Cricetulus griseus: one gene and its partner. The protein of the gene in region 1 purifies or fractionates together with the protein of each later gene. This does not show direct contact. Links are inferred from orthologs where the notes say so. Each region holds a gene or a part of one and is shown on either strand. Other genes may lie near its edges. The genes, in order: caspase-9-like and Dcc.

Region 1 (3,171 bases):
TTTTGCCCCCTACAGAGCAGAAAGACCATGGCTTTGAGGTGGCCTGCACTTCCTCTCGAGGCAGGGACTTAGACAGTGACTCTGAGCCAGATGCTGTCCCATACCAGGAAGGCCCAAGGCCCTTTGACCAGCTGGATGCCGTGTCAAGTTTGCCCACCCCCAGCGACATCCTTGTATCCTATTCCACCTTCCCAGGTGAGCCCATCTGTGCACTCGCCCTTAGCCCTGGAGGCAGCTATGTCCTGAGGTCTTGTTTCTGCTGGACACAGCCTGTGGGGTCCTTGGCAAGTCACTTCACCTCTCCTAAGCCCCTTCTCAGGGTGAAGCAGGCAATGCTTCAGACTGGCATGTAGATTAAGAATAATAATTCCCGTTGGGGTTAACCTGCAGATTCGACAAGGGAGCGGCTGGCACTTCCCTCAGCACTGTGATGGGCACCTGGTGGCAGGGCAGGGATAAGGTGCATCCTTCAATCTGCTTGAGACCCCTGACTTCTCAGAACCTCGATTTCCATACTGAGAAGATGGGAGCCCCAGGCAGTCAGTGGTGTTGAGGGTGAAAAGTAGCAGGGAGCCACAGGGATGGGGCCGCCTTTGCCACCTGTCCACAAACCACAGTCTGGATCTGGCTGTACCCAGCTTCTTCTGCCAAGGAGAGTGCCACTCCACTGTGTGGCAGAGTTCATCCTGTCTTCCTGCAGGTTTTGTCTCCTGGAGAGACAAGAAGAGCGGCTCCTGGTACATAGAGACCTTGGATGGTGTCCTGGAGCAGTGGGCTCACTCTGAAGACCTGCAGTCCCTCCTTCTCAGGGTGAGTACTTCTTTCTGAGGGCTGGAGGGGCCTGGTGAGCAGGGCAGCAGGCTCTAGTCTGCTGTAAATGCTGATGGGCCCTGGCTGAGAGTCAGGGAGCACGTTGTCTCTCAAATGAGGAATGTCACCATGGCGATGACGTTTGTCCTGTTTGCAAAGTGCCATCTTTTCCCGACTCTTTAGAGACAGATGAGCAGACAGGCATCTGGTTCCCAGAAGACAAAGTGGTCTTAAGTGCCAGGTGGGGTGGCTCAGTGGCAAGAGCATGGTACCCTGAAGCCTGGCCATATGCTTCTCGCTTAGCTCTGTGGCACATCCCCACGTGCTCTCTTTTTAGATTGTTCCAGGTAGCCCAGGCTGGCCTAGAACTTGCCATGCAAAGAGCAATGAACTTGAACTTTTGGTCCTCCTGCCTCTACTTCCTGAGTGCTGGGATTACAGGTGTTAACCACCACACCCAATTTATGCAGTGCTGGGGGTGAAACCCAGGGTGTCACGTATGCTAGATAAGTAATCTCCCAACTGAGCTACATCCCCAGCCCCATGCTATGACTCTTTATCTTCAAGCATTGTGATTCTGTCTAGATTGTTCCCTTCCTGGAGGCCCCAATGAGAATGAACAGGGAAGGGGCGTGGCAGTGCCTTGCTTCATAGCAGCCAGCCACCTCAGGGCACTTGGTTGTACCCATAAGGTGTATACCAGGCTTTTTCTTTTGGCCATCAACCAGCTGTCAAATCATGGAGACTTCTTTTTTTTTTTTTAAAGAAATTTTTTAAATTAAAAAAATTTTTTTTGAAACTTTATTTAATATGCATTGGTGTAAGGATACCAGGTCCCCTAGAACTGGAGTTACAGACAGGTGTGAGCTGCCATGTGGGAGCTTGGAATAGAACCCGGGTCCTCTGGAAGAGCAGCCATTGCTCTTAACCACTGAGCCATCTCTCCAGCCCCCGAGACTTCTTATTAGTTATGAATGCTTGGCTACACTTAGGCTGGTTTTTGTCTAGATCTTTTCCCTTAAATTGACCTGCTTCTCTTTATTTACTTCTTGTCTTTGGGGTTGTCCTTTCCTTTCCTTCTGTATACTTTCACTGCCCTCCTGTGTGGCTGGCAGATGCCTGGCTTCTTGCCTCCAGTGAGACCTCATCTTTCTCCCTCTTTCCTCCAGTTTTTGCTCCTCCCCCTATTTATTCTCTGCCCACCAGGCCTGCCTATCCCTCTCCTTCCTAGCTATTGGCTGTTCAGCTTTTTATTAGACCAATCAGGTGCTGTAGGCAGGCAAGGTGAAACAAATGTGAAACTCATCTTTCATGAGTAAACACACATCCTTACATCATTAACCAGTGCAACATAAACAAAAGTAACACCGATGCACAGTTCAGGTAAACAAAGGCAGCACATCTCTGCCCCCTGAAAAGATTGCTCCACAACAATTAGGGCCCGGTGGGTTTCCACTGCTCTGCCCAGTGCAACCCCTGGGCTCTAGGAGTCACTTCCGGTCCTGCGTGGGGCCCTACAGGACAGAGGACAGCTGAGCAGCTCATGTTGTCTCTGGGTCTCCTCTTCCCCACTTCCTTACCCCTAGCGTTTCTGTCTGATTGGAATTGTGAATTTTTATATTAGAGAAGTTGGATTTTCCATTCTTTCCCAGTAGCTGAGGTGTTTGTTCTATAACCCACCCCAGGAGACTGTAGGTAGGGTCACCTTCAGATGGCCCCTTCAGTGGCCCGCCCCCTCAGTTAAGGCCTCAGACAAGGACACTGAACTCACAGATTGCCCCTGTGATTCTGTTTTGCAGGTCGCCCATGCAGTTTCTGAGAAAGGGATTTATAAACAGATTCCTGGCTGTTTTAACTTCCTCCGGAAAAAGCTGTTTTTTAAAACTTAATGAGACTGGGGCTGCTCCTTGCCTGAATGTTCCCCTAAACCTTCATGGCCTGGAGGTGACTGAGACTGGACTGTCCTGCAAAGCCAGGGTTTTGGAACCGTGGCAGGCCGCTCTCTTCCCTTCTTTGGCAGACAAGCTCCTAACAGCTCCCAGGTTGGTGAGAGAGGCAGAGCATTGGAGGGAGAGGGACAGAGTGCTGTCATTGTCACTGTGTCTCTTCAGCTGAGGTTAGGGACTGTGGCCTGTGACCCCCAGGTCCTCTCTAGAGCAGGACTTCTCTGAGTCTGCCCTACTGACATGTGGGGTTGTATAGTCCTGTCATGGGACTGTCTTGTGTATCAAAGGGTGTTGCCACGAGCACCCTTCCTGAGTTTTACCACCCAGAAATGTCTTCAGACATTGTCACATTTGCCCTAGGAGACATAACACTGGAGGAGCACTGTCCACAGGGGTCTGTGGATCATATATCCCA
Region 2 (3,826 bases), about 160 Mb from region 1:
TTTCTTCTTCAGAAAAAAGAATATATATATACATATATGCTTACATACACATATATGCCTTCCTGTACCTCTGAAATTGAGAGGATACAAGATATCCTAACAGTGGAAGAATCATTAAAGAACAGTTTAGTAGCAAAAGGATGTTTATAGCCCATTACTCAAGAAATTCCTGATGAGAGATTAAAAGAACACTTGCAACATGTGTAGCATATTTTCACACTATGGCTTGCTCTCTGGAATTCCCTTCTCTGCTAGAAATGTAGTTTATCTGCTCTATCCTTAAAGTGGGGACTGAGCACTTAGGACCACTGAAACTGGCCACCATAAAAATGAGTAAATAGTCAAAATAATTATTTATGTAGTTTAAATTGATAAAAGCTATAGAACATAGTGTTATATTATGCAGCAAAATTCTAGAGGGATTGCCATGGAGAATGATGAAAATAAATTGTATTCACTAATATAGAAAATAAAACTTAGCCATTGTCAAAAGTCTCTGGATCACATTACGTCCATAGATAAATCACTACAGACAACATTGCTTTAAATACAGTGGGGTTATTCTGTAGTTGACTCTAAAATATTCAATAAATAACAGCCATGAGCATTTTTATTTAAAAAATCATAACTAGCAGGATTGACTTTTGTCATTTCCTAAATAGGATCAAGACTTTATTACAAAGGATGAGAGACCATGTTTACATAAACTACATGCTAGCCCATGACATGGAGAAGTCAAAAGTAGTTCATACATTAGACTATTCTTCCTCTATTCATAAAATTCTTCTTTCAAAATCAGGCAAAAATACAAATGTGAAAGGCAATACTTGCTGTAGTTTGGCAAGAAACAGTTTTTCCTGCTAAACAAACCTACTATATGACTCAAATTCCTGTAGAGGCTACAGCTTCTTCTGTTCTCTTTTCATCATTTCATCAATCCATTTGACTTTAAAGGAGCCTTTAGTAAGAAGAGACATCAAAAGAAATATGGAAAGCCTGGGCTCTGTCATCAAATTTTAATCCCAGAGCGCTCTCTCTCTCTGTCTCTCTGTCTATCTCTCTGTCTCTCTCTCTGTCTCTCTCTCTGTCTCTCTGTGTCTGTCTCTCTCTGTTTCTGTCTCTCTCTCTCTCTCTCTCTCTCTCTCTCTCTCTCTCTCTCTCTCTTCCTTCCTCTCCCTCTCCTTTCCTTTTGTTCTGTTTCTGTCTTCAGTTTTAAAAATATTTTCTCCAAAACCACAGGCTAGTAACATGCTTAATAATTCATTGGAAAGCAGAGTGGTGAATAGGGGCTGAGAATTTGAAAACCAAGGTAAAGAGGCAGTAATCAACAGACTGGCCAACAACAACTCAGCTTTGAGCTTGGTTATTAAAATAATAAACTGTATAAGCTGCTGCTGCCTCTCTGATCTCATTCCCTTAAATGACTTCAACTGTCCAGTCTTAGAATTCTGTCAGTTTCAAATTTTTGTTAGTGAGATTCCTTACTGCGTCATATAAAGGTCGGTTTTTTATCTGCCATCTATAAATTTGAGTGTCTCAAAATGAAATGATTATTATTACCACAATGTAAGCTTCTGAGATTGTAGTTGTCCCAGCATAGGATAAGTGTAAAGGTTTTAGGAAAGTTTGTACAATCACACATCATTCTTCAGATTCCAATCATGTTATTGATCAAAGCACCTGCATATCTCAGTGGCAATCTCTCATTCTGAAGGTAGTTAATTTGTCTTCCTATCAATGATGTTCATTCTTTCCACTGCACTTGCAGTTTTAGAATCAGGAAGGTAATATAGGAATGCCTGACTGGACTGAAAATGGAACTAACCTATGCATGAGAAAGCAGGAAGATGAGCACTTCTACACTTTAATATTACAACCTAAGAAACCTGCTTACCAGTCCCCATCTGATACTAGCTTGTAGACATCAGATGAATATTGACCCATGTGACCATGCATATGTGCTCACTCTGGCTTTGATAGAATAACTGATATATATATATATATATATATATATATATATATATATATATAGGTTCTTTCATAGATTTTGTGTGTCGACTGAACAATATTTATAGAGATATAATCTAGACAATAGTAAAAGGAATATAAAAACACAGCAAAATCAAAGATAAAGAAGAAAATTAAGATGTCCAATAGCATTTATTTCCATTTCAGAAAAAATCACCAGAAATAACACTTTTATTGTTATTTCAAATATTTGATAAATCATGAAGCTGATAATTTAGTAAACTAAACCTTGTAAGAAACAATGTGCAACAGTCAAACAAGATGGGCTTTTAAGATATACATAATCTATTTAAACATAAATATGAGGAAATACTGTCATTTTTAACATAGCAATACTGTTCTTATTATATTTCATGGTTTAATTAATTGCATTTTTTCTGTTCTTCTCATGTTCCCTTTCATCTTTATTGCCATGCATTTAACTCATTGTGATGTGTTACCACTGGTATTTATTTTAACTCTTTGTTTACACATTCGTTTGTTTCATTTGATGGGTTTTTAACCCAGATCCCACTGACCCAGTTGATTATTATCCTTTGCTTGATGATTTCCCCACCTCGGGCCCAGATGTCTCCACCCCCATGCTCCCACCAGTAGGTGTACAGGCTGTGGCTCTTACCCATGAGGCTGTGAGGGTCAGCTGGGCAGACAACTCTGTCCCGAAGAACCAAAAAACATCCGATGTGCGACTTTACACTGTCCGATGGAGAACCAGCTTTTCTACCAGTGCCAAGTACAAGGTGAAAGTCAAATTGATTGCATGAAATTTAAAATTATCTTCCATGTGTTGTTGTTTTCAATGTATCCTGGCCTGTCGAAAAACACTCTTCTACAGTGATTTTTACGAGGCATTTTAGTAATTGAATATCTAAAGTTAGTTAAGAAGAATTATTCTTTTGGAAATCGACAACAGTTAAGGTAGAAAAATATCAAGAGCTGCAAAATGATGTCTGAATACCACCAGACACTGCCTGAACCTGACTTTTGCTTCTGTAGGAAAGAAAGCCATTTTCCTTGGAAATAACAGGACTCCAATAACATCTTGCGAATAGATACTGATATGATTCCTTTTATTTGGAACCTAGATTGCTCTCTTAATAATACACATACGCACACACACACACACACACACACACACACACACACACACACACACACACAGAGAGAGAGAGAGAGAGAGAGAGAGAGAAAGAGAGAGAGAGACAGAGAGAGAGAGAGACAGAGAGAGACAGAGAGAGACAGAGACAGAGACACAGAGACAGAGACAGAGAGACAGAGAGAGAATAACAGGGAATACATGATGTGAAGATTCCTTATAACATCCTAGGAATGTTTTGAAAGTGATTAACATCAATTTCCTTACTTAGCTTTGAAACCGTCTTCCTGTCATAAGGAAACTCCCTTAAATGAACCAGACTTATACCAGCCTCCTGTTTGTATAATAATTTCCAAATCATTTAATACTCATTCCAGGGAACCTTAGTGATATTTAAGAACAGTCATTTCACTTTTCCATCTCTCTTGCCCAAGCTTGGAGATTCTAACAAAGAGTTACTAGCAAAGAAAGGCATATAGCCTTCTAAATCCCAGACCATGTTAACATGTTTAATTGGTAGACAGTGTCAACAAATTAGAAAGATCAGCATGCACCTGTTCTGTATCTATAACAGTTGTAGATCATTTGTTCTGAAATAAAGATTTAATTCTGCTTACTTCACACATTTAAATTGGAATGCTCCATGCACCCATCTTAATAAATGTGTGCTTGAAAGAAAATCTATAAATGGTTCGCATAAGG

The links.
Region 2: the proteins of caspase-9-like (region 1) and Dcc purify together in Homo sapiens (co-immunoprecipitation; 3 studies listed by BioGRID and IntAct, with this or other methods). This does not show direct contact. The link is inferred for Cricetulus griseus from reciprocal best matches to the Homo sapiens genes CASP9 and DCC.

Annotation. Positions count from the first base shown.
Region 1 is NC_048595.1:11,416,386-11,419,556, reverse strand, and holds part of caspase-9-like, read left to right. Parts: intron 1-15; coding exon 16-195; intron 196-700; coding exon 701-810; intron 811-2,609; coding exon 2,610-2,699; 3' UTR 2,700-3,171. UniProt on the Homo sapiens protein: Involved in the activation cascade of caspases responsible for apoptosis execution. Binding of caspase-9 to Apaf-1 leads to activation of the protease which then cleaves and activates effector caspases caspase-3 (CASP3) or caspase-7 (CASP7).
Region 2 is NC_048595.1:168,279,952-168,283,777, forward strand, and holds part of Dcc (netrin receptor DCC), read left to right. Parts: intron 1-2,535; coding exon 2,536-2,768; intron 2,769-3,826. UniProt on the Homo sapiens protein: Receptor for netrin required for axon guidance. Mediates axon attraction of neuronal growth cones in the developing nervous system upon ligand binding. Its association with UNC5 proteins may trigger signaling for axon repulsion.